Tribolium castaneum: one gene and its partners. The protein of the gene in region 3 binds, or shares a complex with, the protein of the main gene of each other region. Links are inferred from orthologs where the notes say so. Each region holds a gene or a part of one and is shown on either strand. Other genes may lie near its edges.

Region 1 (4,093 bases), on a different chromosome or scaffold from region 3:
TTAAAGACTTCACGGGTTTTTGTTGAAAAGTAATGCATAGAAAATAGAAAATTAGAAGGCTGGGCAAGAAAATTTGAGTTAAAAAGTCACACATATTAAAATGGTTATTTCGTGAGCTGTTGGTGGCATATGTGTCAGGGGTACAGAGAGAATATTTTTTTCTAAAATTCTTTATTCAACAAAAACTACATTTACGAAGTGAAGGGCCACTCTTGCCGTTCCGTGTGGCCTTTATATTTATTTTTATACTTCAAGCCTGTGACTAGTGTCGATTCCCGGTTAAAGGCCGTTTGCCCCTTGAACAGCTTATCAGTATCTGTAAAAAGTGTCAATTAATTTTGAAATTTGTTCAGTCTTGAGTTTGTACCTGGATGGAATCGGTAATATTCGTATTGAACATGCAAATTTTCCGGCAACTCCATGTTGCGCATTTTATCCAAGGGGGTAACGTCGTCAACAGTCGTTTGGTAGAAGTTCCTAACATCATTTAAAGTTTGAACCGAGTGCAAAACTGAATTCGGAATGGCTCTGTTGAATTCCTTGGCACAGGCCGCGCACAAATCGAATTTCTGCGCGAGGCTCCCGATCCTGGTGCCGCCGTCCGTGGCCCCCATAACCTCCCGAAAAATGTGGTCCAGCCTCTCGTTGGCATCCTCCGGTGGCGTGTACGCCTCGTAGGGCCTCAGGAAGCTGCAAATGTTTTGAAATATTAACAATTTGCAATTCACGGCGCGCAGTATCGAATTTATCGAGCGTCGGGTGGCGCGCCCTCGCGTCAGCGGGGCGAAGCGCCACGTCTCCCCTCAGTCCAGCGCGAACGCACACCCGGTTCACACACCCTTTCGCGGCGAGAGACTGTTGCGCAGCGTATATTTTCGGGGGCTGCTTCCTGTCGATGCCCTTCTTCTTCTCGGCCTTGGTGGCGAAGCGGTGCACTAGGGCCCCAAACGGGGGCCGCTTCAGGAGGCCGCCATGCCTCATCAGCGCCGCCATCGCAGTCGACTAGATCGGCGCGAGTCGGCGCGCTAAGACCTGCCGCCGGCCGTCGGCCCTCTCCGGCGCGTGCGCAGCCCACGCGACGTGTGTCGCCGCTTGGAGCGGACGCTCAAACTGTGAAATGTCTCGGCTCTTGTTGAATTAGTGTGGCTTGTTGTTTCCTATCCGCCATTTTGCATTGCGTTCGAAAGGTGAAAATCGAGGTAAATGGTGGCTTAATTGGGGCCCCAACGCGCCAGTGAGTGCAGTGGAAAGTTCAAGTGTCGTGGGTGCTAAATCGCCGAGAATGGAGCAGGCATGACGCACCCAAATTTTCAAACCAACGGGGCCAGTTTAGAGGATTGCCACACTAACTTCTTCGCTCTGGTGAGTCCCCGGCAGCCCCCTGCCCGATGACACTGCGACAGTGTTTACGTTCGCCGGACTTTCCCCGCCGCTGTGACATAATTATCAACAGTTCCCCCTCCCTTTGAGGGCATTTTCCGGACATGCCCTGCGTTTTCGCAGCGTTTTGCGCGAATTTTCCGAAAAGACAAGACAATTTCTTTTGCATTTCGTGTGAACGAACGCGAGGCGCTGTTGCCGCGCTTGCACGTAACGGTCCCGATTCTGCTCGTGCCTTTCTAGGGCGGGCATGTGCGCCCCAATGCCCGCCCGGGAACGTGCCCGCGGGGCCCAAAGCGTCCCGAGACGGCCCCCAGGCATGTTCCGCATGCCTTCGCTCCGAGATATTTGACATTGACGTATGTGGGCTGCCAAGTGGCAACGTCGCGCCGAAGCGGCTAGTGACAGGCGTACAGTCTATGGTAAAACGCAGCTGATTAACAGGCCAGCCTACATTTTTAATAATAAACTGGACTATTTTTTCGAAAACGGGGTAAAACCCCTCGGGACTGGACGATTTTTCGGGGGATAACCCACTTCGGGTGTTTGTTTTGCCGCAATCAGTTCCGCTTTACTTTTAGAAAGTTTGCTTAATGGCTGAAGAAATCACAGATTAATTAGAGTTCGTTATTCTAACATAACCTAATTGTGTTTTGACACGTTTGTGTTGGCGCGATTTTCGAAATTGACGACGCCCCTGGTCTCTTGTCGATATCCTCGTTAGACAAGAGGTTAAACACATCGACCTTGAGCTTATCGTGTTATTATCGCAAGACTTTGTTTCAAACACATCGGGAGAAGTGGACAAGCACTTTGCAACACAACTGAACTAAATAAACAAAATTGCGATCGCTTTACATGTTTTCCAGAACCGTAATGTTCAACAAGTTGGTTCCTTATCAGGTGTATAAACAAGCGACACATTTGTTTATCACTTTGACTCTTTCTTTAATATCTGGGAATGGCATTTAAATGGCGAAAGATTCCGTTGTGTTACGTCACCGATAACATTGATATCTTATCGGAGTGCATTTTCGTGAAGAAATCTACAAGTGGTCTATAATTCCGTATTCCTAACCCCCGTGCGTGAATTCATTGGGTTATCTCGAACCTCTGTATTTTTTTAACGTATTGTTGGTAAATAGCCGAGATAAGAAAAAATGACCTTGATGGGGCTCTGGATTTGGCTCAAATCGCCGCAGGGAAGGCCACTCAATTTATTACTAATCCGCAGACAAATTCAATAAGACAATTAACTGTACCACTTTAGTCGTCAAACAAATTCGGTATTTTTAGATGTTTTGTGCTTTGAGAAATTAAATATTTTCAAACGTAATTATGTCGTGCTGATTCCGGAAAGAAAACGTAAATAAATGGAAGGAAATGGTGTGATGAATGAGCTCAGTTTTTTGGACTGTCTGACAAGAACGCGACATTTCCGTTGTTTGAAAGAAATTTTTCTGCACGTTTTAGCACTAGTTGCATGATTTTTCCATGACGAATTATTACAATTTTAAGTACGATAAATATTTGTCCGATTTTACTGTCGGCAGTTTTATTCTTGAAAAAATACAAGAAGTGCCGTCAGGACGCCGCCTCCGTGTCAGAAAAATAAATCGTTTTACTGCCATATTCGATAAATTAATATTTACTACACAGAGTGTTAAGTTTATGTGTGACTTTTATTACAACTTGCTATAAATTTCGGGTGTTAATATCGCGTTGCATACCTTTCAGTAACGAAAATGTCGAACGTAAAAATGTGTGTTACAATAATCATGATATTACGACCTTATCGAACTGGGTCATTCGAGCGAGATTTTTCCATTTGTTTTTGTAAATCAAGGAAAACTGAAGGAAAAGTTGCGGCGCGGAAAATAAATGGCGTACACATTTAATTTCAATAACGGTTTTGAAATTAATTAGTTTGGAAGCTGGAAGCTCAAAAAAGTATAACATTTCGGAAAAATCACAAGTATTATTGTTGAAACGTAAACGTTTACTAGTCTTGTAAAATAATTATTTCTTGATATTCTGTTCTATAATTTATTTATTTACACATTATCTAAAAATCCAATTTTTTAAAATTTTTAATCGAGTTCGTATCGGAATACAGTGAAATCTCTCTTAACGGACACCTCCTATAAGCGGCATCCTCTAACAAAGGAACATTTTGTTGGCTCCGTTTTATGTATTTTATTGTATTGCTTTTCTTTTAAGGGGACTCTCTAATAAACGGACGCGGACAATTCAGTTCGGATCATTGAAAACAAAATCTCTCTTTTAAGCGGACAGCCTGTCACACGCACGTGTGTTATTATTAGTTGTTCAGAGAATCATAAGCGGGTAGTACATGTTTTATTTTTCTCAGAAAAGGTTTTACAGTTATGCGGTGTCTAAAAAACTAAACTAAAAAAGCGTGTGCTAATAATAAAAGAAAAAAAACATAAATTCTGAGTTTACTGAAAACAAAAGAAAAAAGAAAGAAATAGGATGAACCTAAGCAGCAAATATTGTTCAATTAACTTATAAAAGCGCATAATAAAAATATTTTGGTTTCTGGATTAATTGTCGGTATGCAACTAAAGTGTTTGAAAGATATTGAAAAAAAAAAGGTTTTAATGCATCTGAAGAATGGCTAGAAAAATCTTGAATTTGTTACAAAAGTTTTAAGTACATTTTTGGTGAATCTGCGAGAGTTTTTTTTATAAAT
Region 2 (4,307 bases), on a different chromosome or scaffold from region 3:
AATTTCTTTCTTCTCGTCGTAAGTCTTCCACAGCTCGAATAAATTAATAACGTATCTTGCAATTTCTTGAATTCGTTCTATGTCCACGTTCAGTTCGGCAAACCAAGCCTTGTGGTCCTTTTGCAAGATGACACAAGCTATTTGAAGACAGCCAATTGCAATTTGATATGGTGGATAAAGCAAACACACATCAGTCCTAAGAGAATCGTTCACTATCCTCCAGGCGAGAGTCAAAAGTTGATCTTCTTGACCCATGTCTTGCACTAGTTGTAAGAGAGGTCTATAAGGCTGATAGACGATCAAGCAACAGTCGAGGTTTTCTAACAAGTAGAATTCACACTCTAGGATGTGGTTCGTACGATATGGAAATTCCTGACTATAGGCGTAACTAAACTTATTTTTAACTGAAAATAGATTGTTTAAAAAAGCTAGTTTTAACTTAGCCTCCTTCGATCTTAGACGGCTTTGAAATTATTAACGACAGAATATAATATTAATTTTTGGATTTTTAAACTGTAATTAATTAAATAACCGCGAGAGGTCGCCCTGTTGAGTGGTATGTTCTGAATACGGAGGACTATAAGTTAGGAGACCAAAAATAGTACGGCAGAGTAAAACTGAGGGCGCTACGAGCGTTATACCGTCTTGTCGCCAAATCGTTTTAAATTAATTTAAAACCAACCAATTCATTAATAACGTGGAAAAAATGTAGAAATGTTTTGCACTCTTAACAGACTAAGAAAGACTGACGACTACAAGTTTCATGACAAACATGAGAATTTTTTTATTTAATTTGTGCTTTAAGAAGACGCTGCGAATACAATTAAAGATACAGAAAAATGTTAGGAAGAAATTTGTAGAGAATTAAACTGACCTGCTAAACAAAAACCTTGTAACTACTTTTACGTATTTTTAAGTTATTTCGTGATTCTTAAATTTTCTTTAAATCGCACCTTTATGTTATATGCTTTTGAACTTTAATGAAAAAAATTAAATTGATACGCAATTTTATAGACATCTTTTTAGAGCGCTATTTTTCAATTTAAAACAATTGAAATAAAAAAATTGCTGAAGTTACTAAGCAAAAAAGTCGTAACTACAAAAAAACATTTATTAGAGAAAATTGAACACTTGAAAGCTAGATATTAGCATATAAATTAACGAAGAACAACCAATGCTTATAAATACAGTGGCGCTAATAAGTATTAATACAACTCATTTTTTTATTAAATGTGTTCTCTTTCAATTATTATTAACTTTTACTTATTTTTTGGTAAAAGTTGAGGCGGCAACGAGCTATCTTTAGATAAAGACAAGATTTACAAAGCTGACCAATTTTTTTAGTGCGATATTTTTTTTACATAATAAATTAAATTAAATTAATAAATAATTAAAAATATTAAATTTGACTTTTGGGTTCACCAATGAGACTAGCTAGTCTTAATATTCCCAGAACAAATGGAAATTTTTTTTAAACAAATAATTCGATGAATAAATTTACTTTCAGGCATATACCAAATTTCAATTAATTTTGAACATTTAAAATTTTAATTCAGTATTGTCAACAGACAGTATTTCTGGATCAGTCAATTAATAATAAACAATACTTCATTAAATAGACATTTTTAATTTTAGTTTTGGAGCAATTTATCTCAAAAAATTAAACGATTGTCCGGTAATATATTTTTAATCTTTTCAAGAGTTTCTGTTTATAAAATTTGATCCCTAAGTTCAAAAAAATTCGACGTGACTTATTTATCCAATTTTTGTCCCTCGAATAAAAATAGTATATACTTATTTATATCTGTAACCGTATTCGCAGCGTTTTGAAAATTATGGGACAGAGTGCAAATTGGTAAAAGTTTGAAATTTTTTTAAATATAGTTTATGATAAAATTTTTGCATTATGTTTATGTCCTACTATTGAGAATTTAATGCTCTATTTGCCTGTATTTTTTTTGTTTGCTGTGTGTTAACCGTTATACAAATACAACCATTTTTTCAAATTTATTGCTCTGAAAACCTTGGTAATGGAACAACAGCGTTCTCTGGCGGCATTAACGGAAATATCAAGGACAGGAACGTTTTATTTGTACGTCGTACCATATCCTAACTTTTAGATATCCGTAGTTCCGAAGTTGGATGCTTTTCGGTAATTTTTTTAACAAAAACTTGGGAAAATTATATCTGGTAACTTTTAGACCAGCCATCTAAGACCATCACGGAGACTGTGACTTAACTTACTGACTGTCTGACACGTTGTAATTAACCTAGAATTGGAAATCACCCCAAATTCTTCTACTTTGGAGGCTAGAAAAATGCAAGTGGGGGCTAACAATAACGGATCGATGCACTTAAGTGAGTTTTTTGCATAAAACCTCTTAAAATAAACCGTTGCGGTTGCTATAACTTGCTGGCGTAGCTTCAACTGTTCGCCTAGTGTTTGAATGACTGAAAAAATAAATTAAGAGAGTTGATAATAACCTAATATAAATAATACCGCTAGCAAAAAATATAAATATTTTTTGGTACTCCTCCTCCGTGAGGAGTTGGAGATCATGTTGGCGCTCCCTAATTAAATCTTGTTTGTCCAAAAGCCACTGCTGGCTGGAAAAAATTCATTTGTGATTTTGGGGCCGTTTTCATATCGTAACTTACTGGTGTGAGCTTTGCCAAAAATTTCCAGCCATTGCACAAACTAATCTGAGTTGAATTAAATCACAGGCAATAACTTTAAGCTTCCAGTCAATTATTAATTAACACAAAAGCAAAAGAAACCGGTCAAAGAAACTCAGTCAAGTGACAAGTGTCAACCAATGGAACTACTGTGGTGTTTTTTAACCTACGACCTCTTTTATTAAAACTGTAGACCTTAGAATACTAAAATTAAGTACAAACGAACGCTAATTTTTCAGTTTTGTTATTTATTTTATTTATTGTTTGTTTCGTTCGAACCATATGATACGAAAATGTTTGGTTGATTTGAACTACTTCAAATGTCAAAGCGCCACTTGTGACAACAAACAAATTATTGTTTGTGTGTTTTTTTGTGTTGGGAATGGTGTAGGGGCTCGGGCCCCCAGTTTTCTTTTTTGGATTCTTATTTATTCAAAAATGTGTGCTTGTGTACAAGTTGTGTAAATAATCAGTGAGTTTGTGCGACATAACCTCTAAATGCTTCCAAAAATGAATCCAGTGTACGATTACATTCAGCGAAACCGGGTTTTGGCAAAAATAGAAAAAGCTCATGGAACTAAAGCAACGAATTTAGCGCTAGATGATTACGACCTTGTCAAATTTCCCCCCTTGTTGGTGAGCTGTGTCCACCTCTCATATCTAAACATTGGTCATAATCAAATCACTGAACTGCCCAAGTGTCTCGGACAGCTCAAGAATTTGCAAAATTTGTCTCTGGAGTACAATAACTTCGATCGTTTCCCTGAAGTACTCAAGGATTTGCCTCAGTTGATTACTCTAAACATAAGCCATAATCCGATTAAAGACTTGACTAGAGATATTGGAAATTTAACTTCGTTAGAAACATTATGGTGTAACCGTTGCTATCTGGAGTCTTTACCTGAAGAAATTGGTAATTTAACAAAGTTGGAAACCTTGGGGGCTCGGCATAACCTGTTAACAAAGTTACCAGATGGAATCTGTAATTTAGTGCAACTGAGGTAAGTATGACACTTACCCAAAAATTAAAGAATTTTAGTTTTCGAAAAATCGACAAATTATTTTTACTTTATTCCACTCTCTTGTGAAACAAGGTCGAATTTTATCAACGAAAAAGTAGTACGAGGCGAAGCCGAGTGTGTTAATGCTTTTGGTTGGATAAAATCGTATTTTATCCACTGTCTACTTTATGGTAAAACGGAATTTTGTCGCCTAGAAAAATATAGTTCGCAACTATTGTTGTTTTTAAAGTATTTTTTATTGTTAAATTTCTTAATGTTTATAATTGTTAATCAAAATAACTCAGTAATTCGAAATAATCGAAAAAAATGGAGGAGAAATAAAATTTTGTATTTTACACGATAAAATGCACCATTATCTTCTCAAAACCTTCTCATAGTTAAAATCAGATTTTATCGTCTTGTATAATAAATAACTATTATTCTCGTGAGATTAATTACTTATCTACTAGCGCCTACTGTGTAAACTTTCTAAAAAAACAGATACAATTAAATATTATATAATTTCATGATGCCTATTAATAAAAAAAAATCCACATAAAAGCACAGGAGAGTTCGATAAATTAGAAAATAATTTTCAATTTAACCTCGCCCTCTTGTGATGGATATTAC
Region 3 (3,899 bases):
TACCTGCACGTGCCAAAGAACCGTGGACTTTACCACCCAACAAACCAACAGTCAACTCAATATCAGTATTTTCGAATTCTGACACCAAACTGGCATCGGCCACGGGAACACCGCTGGCGTAGAGACTGATTTCGCTGCTGTTCAGGTTTTCCAAAGCCGCAATGCGATCCTAAAATTGACCACTTGGAGAGAACATAACCTCACACTTTGATAAAATTACCTTGATTTCAGCAATGGTCTCATTGCTCTGGCACTCAAGCACGTGCGTTGATAGTCCGCGAAAGCACAACTGCATTTTGCTCGGTTCTGGAAGAGAAAAAACAATTTTTATTGCATCACATGGTGATTTTTACAAGCGCTTAAGTCTCGACTAGCACTAATTTTATTCAAAGGGACAACAACCGCACACATAGTACGACCCCAATCTTCAATTTTTGACCCAAAAGTCATAAAAATTTGATATAAAACGGAAAAACATACCTACCGCAAGCACTAATTTGACAAAAGGAATTCAAAATGGCGGATTCGAGGAAACGGAAATGATAGTCAGAAACTAAAATCCCTAAATAAAAAGCGCTCGATACGATTTATAGAAATTTATTAATGTCTTAAACCTAAATTTAAAATCTTTGTTGAAAATTCTGTTGTTGTTGCGACCCGTTATTATACATCATCTGCTGCTGATGAAACTCCTGTTGTTGCGATATTGGAATAGCCTAAAAATCAGTCATTACTTTGCCACTTAAATCAGAGAAACCCTACTTGTGGATTGACTTGGCCGGGATGGGCATTCCCCGACAATCTCACACGTTTTGAGGGATTCCCGTGATTATCCCCATTTCCAGATTGTTGCTGTTGGGATTGCTGTTGTTGTTGCTGCTGCTGCTGTTGTTGCTGTTGCTGGGATTGCTGCTGTTGTTGTTGTTGCTGTTGCTGCTGGTTTTGACGTTGCTTACTTTCAGCCTTCTCTTCCTGATCGTCATCAGTCAAAAATTCGCGCTTGGGATATGGGATTGGACAACCTGTGATTATTTATTGTTTTTTTTTATTTGAGAAATTTGTTAAACTGACCCGCGAAAACGTCCTGCGTAGGTAGAGGGTCTTCAGAAAAGTAGGCATCTTGCATCGCTTGTTCTGAAGTAATTCGTTTATTTGGGTCCATTAATAATAACTTTTGTAATAAGTGAAACGCTTTACTGTCAGGTTTAATCTTATGTCTATCCATGTATTTTACTAACGAACAGTTGATATAGCTGGAAAAGATTAACAAAATGACAAAAATTAATTGGCAACAATTTAATTTCCATTGTCTGTACCTTTGTTTTTTAAAATCTTTAACTAGTGTGGGATGTTCGGGCATTTTTTTGATATCTTCCCAGTCCTTTTCAAGGGGGAATCCCATAACGTTAAAAATCCTGTCTAACTGGTCATGATGGTACGGATTGCTGGTTTTGATGTCTTCTTGCCGACAATGAAAAATTGGTTCTGAGGTCAACAGTTCGGCAAAAATGCATCCAATGGCCCAAATATCAATTGCTTTCGTGTAATGGCGAGCTCCGAGCAATAATTCTGGCGCTCGGTACCAAAAAGTGACCACAACGGGGTCCAAATCAGCTAGAGGTTTCAATGGTGCGTTAAAAAGTCTCGCAAAACCCATATCTGCGATTTTAACACGTCCTCTCTCCGGCCCTTCACCCATAACCAGAATATTAGCCGGTTTTAAGTCCCTGTGTAACACCCAATTTGAGTGCAAATAATGAATTCCGTCTAAAATTTGGTAAAGCAATGACTTCACCATTCCTTTAGGGACCATGACTGGCTTCTTATTAGCTTTAGCGGCTCTGTGAAATTTAATAATGTGCCACAGGTCGTGTTCGGCGAAGTCGAATAAAAGCCACACTTTTCTATCATTGTGAGATAAAAAGACTCTAATTAACGTGATAACGTTTGGGTGTTTCAATTCCCTTAAAAGCTATAAGGCAATAAGGTTTATTAATAATACAGCACGCGATTTTTACCGCTATTTCTCTGCATGCTGACATGGATAGTCCTGTCCCCTCGATCTGTTTTAGGGCATAGTCTCGATTGTCCGACCCGTCTTTCCGCCGCCCTTTATACACATGGCCGTACGTGCCCCGACCTACCTTACAACCTTCGTAATCGAACAAATCCTCCACCTTTACCCGCTCATTCTGAGTCTTCATTTTAAATTCGTAGTCCATCATGAGAGTTGTCATAATATTCAATTGATCAGAAATTAGAGCACTTCGCGAGAAGTGCCAAGTTTATATGATAACACCGGTGATTCCCTAACAAATTTGCACTTCACTATTGGGAAGAACAGGAATGTTTGTAAATAATAATAATTAATCAAAATTTGTTTTTGACAAACGTCAACGTCTTGTCAAATGTCTAACCGCGACGAGCATGCGCAAAAACAACGCACAAACTAAAGAAAAAATGAAATTTAATTTTTAAATATCTACTGTTAATTTAATAATTAATTGCAATCAATACGTGGAAGTTTGTCGAATCAAGCAGAAGAAGTATCAATTATTTGAAATAATTATGATTTTGTGGTCCCGAGGTCGGGTTGGGCAACGTGGCGTGTCGAAATTCCCCCAGTTTGATTGAATAAATGGGAAATTCCGGTCGGAAAGTTGGGAAATCGTAGGGTCCTTTTCGAATTTCCTTCTGCGAGAGGCTGTCACCTGCCAGTTTTATTTTGTGATTCCCTTTGTTTCGGCATGTGAGTGACTGGAATATTTTTTCCCGCACTAACCAAGTCTCCGGGTCGCGCATTTCTGGTTATAACCAGTTAAAGTGGTTAAGTTACCTGCATAACCAGTGAAAAGTGACTCAATCAAGTAGTTCGTCGGCATTGGAGACCGCGCCATTTTGCATCGGGTCACATTTTTCGTATTTTTAGTTCATACGAAATCCAGCAGAAATGTCAGGAGAGGAGACTTCAGCCGACCGTAATGTAGAAATCTGGAAAATAAAGAAACTGATCAAAAGTTTGGAACTGGCGAGAGGGTAAGTGCAACGTGGTTAGAAATCCTTCAACATATGCCCACGAGTTTCAAGTAAACGGTTTTTTTGGCCTTTTGCAGCAATGGAACCAGCATGATTTCGTTAATTATACCGCCCAAAGATCAAATCTCGAGAGTTAGCAAAATGTTAGCTGATGAATTCGGCACAGCCTCCAATATCAAGTCGAGAGTTAACAGATTGTCAGTCTTGGGGGCTATCACCTCAGTCCAGCATCGCCTCAAACTCTACACAAAAGGTAAGCGCGAGGAGCCCCAGCCTGTGACACACCCTACCAAAATACCAGCGTTGAGCAATCGTTTATAATTAAAAATGCATACTTTGTACAGTTTATTATTTTAAAAACGAGCCTTTCATGATCACTTAGATTGCATGATATCCGCTTTAGGTAAACCCTAATTTTCCAAGCTGAGATTGCAAAAATAAATTGCTACCAATTAATTAAGTGGTGAATCCCGCTAATTTAAAACAAATTGAAAAATCTTTACTCATTCAGTTGTCATTTCCGATCCAACTATTAGCTGTTTCAAAACTATAAAAACGCCAACGTCCCATTTTACCGAATTATTTTTTAAATAAGGTTGATACAATTGTAAAATACTTATTAATAATTAGGTCTCTCATTAAAAATATAAATTACATTAGCTATTAATTATATGAAGTGCATGAGTAATTTATTTATTTATTTAGCTAATTCTGAGAGAAAATGCAATGTTTTATAGTTTTGAAACAGCCATTTATAGATTTTACAGTCCGTTCAGTCAGTACCTGAAATTTTTCGCTAGCTTCAATAGTTTCGAACTATAAGACAGTTATTCAGAGTGGTTTTATTTATTAAAATAAAATAT

The links.
Region 1: Cdk8 (region 3) and skd share a complex: the UniProt entries of both Drosophila melanogaster proteins name them as parts of the cdk8 module of the Mediator complex. The link is inferred for Tribolium castaneum from reciprocal best matches to the Drosophila melanogaster genes Cdk8 and skd.
Region 2: Cdk8 (region 3) and CycC share a complex: the UniProt entries of both Drosophila melanogaster proteins name them as parts of the cdk8 module of the Mediator complex. The link is inferred for Tribolium castaneum from reciprocal best matches to the Drosophila melanogaster genes Cdk8 and CycC.

What each region holds. Positions count from the first base shown.
Region 1 is NC_087399.1:1,816,248-1,820,340, forward strand, and holds the start of skd (mediator of RNA polymerase II transcription subunit 13), read left to right. Parts: upstream 1-1,221; 5' UTR 1,222-1,293; coding exon 1,294-1,362; intron 1,363-4,093. Other genes in the region: uncharacterized protein mRpL50, read right to left, coding at 192-316, 368-690, 839-993. UniProt on the Drosophila melanogaster protein: Component of the Mediator complex, a coactivator involved in the regulated transcription of nearly all RNA polymerase II-dependent genes.
Region 2 is NC_087394.1:8,425,915-8,430,221, forward strand, and holds the start of CycC (cyclin-C), read right to left. Parts: upstream 2,820-4,307; 5' UTR 2,691-2,819; coding exon 2,659-2,690; intron 2,608-2,658; coding exon 2,501-2,607; intron 2,452-2,500; coding exon 2,245-2,451; intron 405-2,244; coding exon 1-404. Other genes in the region: leucine-rich repeat-containing protein 1, read left to right, coding at 3,175-3,677. UniProt on the Drosophila melanogaster protein: Component of the Mediator complex, a coactivator involved in regulated gene transcription of nearly all RNA polymerase II-dependent genes.
Region 3 is NC_087397.1:11,468,002-11,471,900, forward strand, and holds Cdk8 (cyclin-dependent kinase 8), read right to left. Parts: upstream 2,413-3,899; 5' UTR 2,238-2,412; coding exon 2,019-2,237; intron 1,973-2,018; coding exon 1,317-1,972; intron 1,254-1,316; coding exon 1,072-1,253; intron 1,023-1,071; coding exon 763-1,022; intron 717-762; coding exon 621-716; 3' UTR 582-620; downstream 1-581. Other genes in the region: RpS30 (ubiquitin-like FUBI-ribosomal protein eS30 fusion protein), read right to left, coding at 4-169, 221-295; eRF1 (eukaryotic peptide chain release factor subunit 1), read left to right, coding at 2,951-3,036, 3,114-3,289. UniProt on the Drosophila melanogaster protein: Component of the Mediator complex, a coactivator involved in regulated gene transcription of nearly all RNA polymerase II-dependent genes.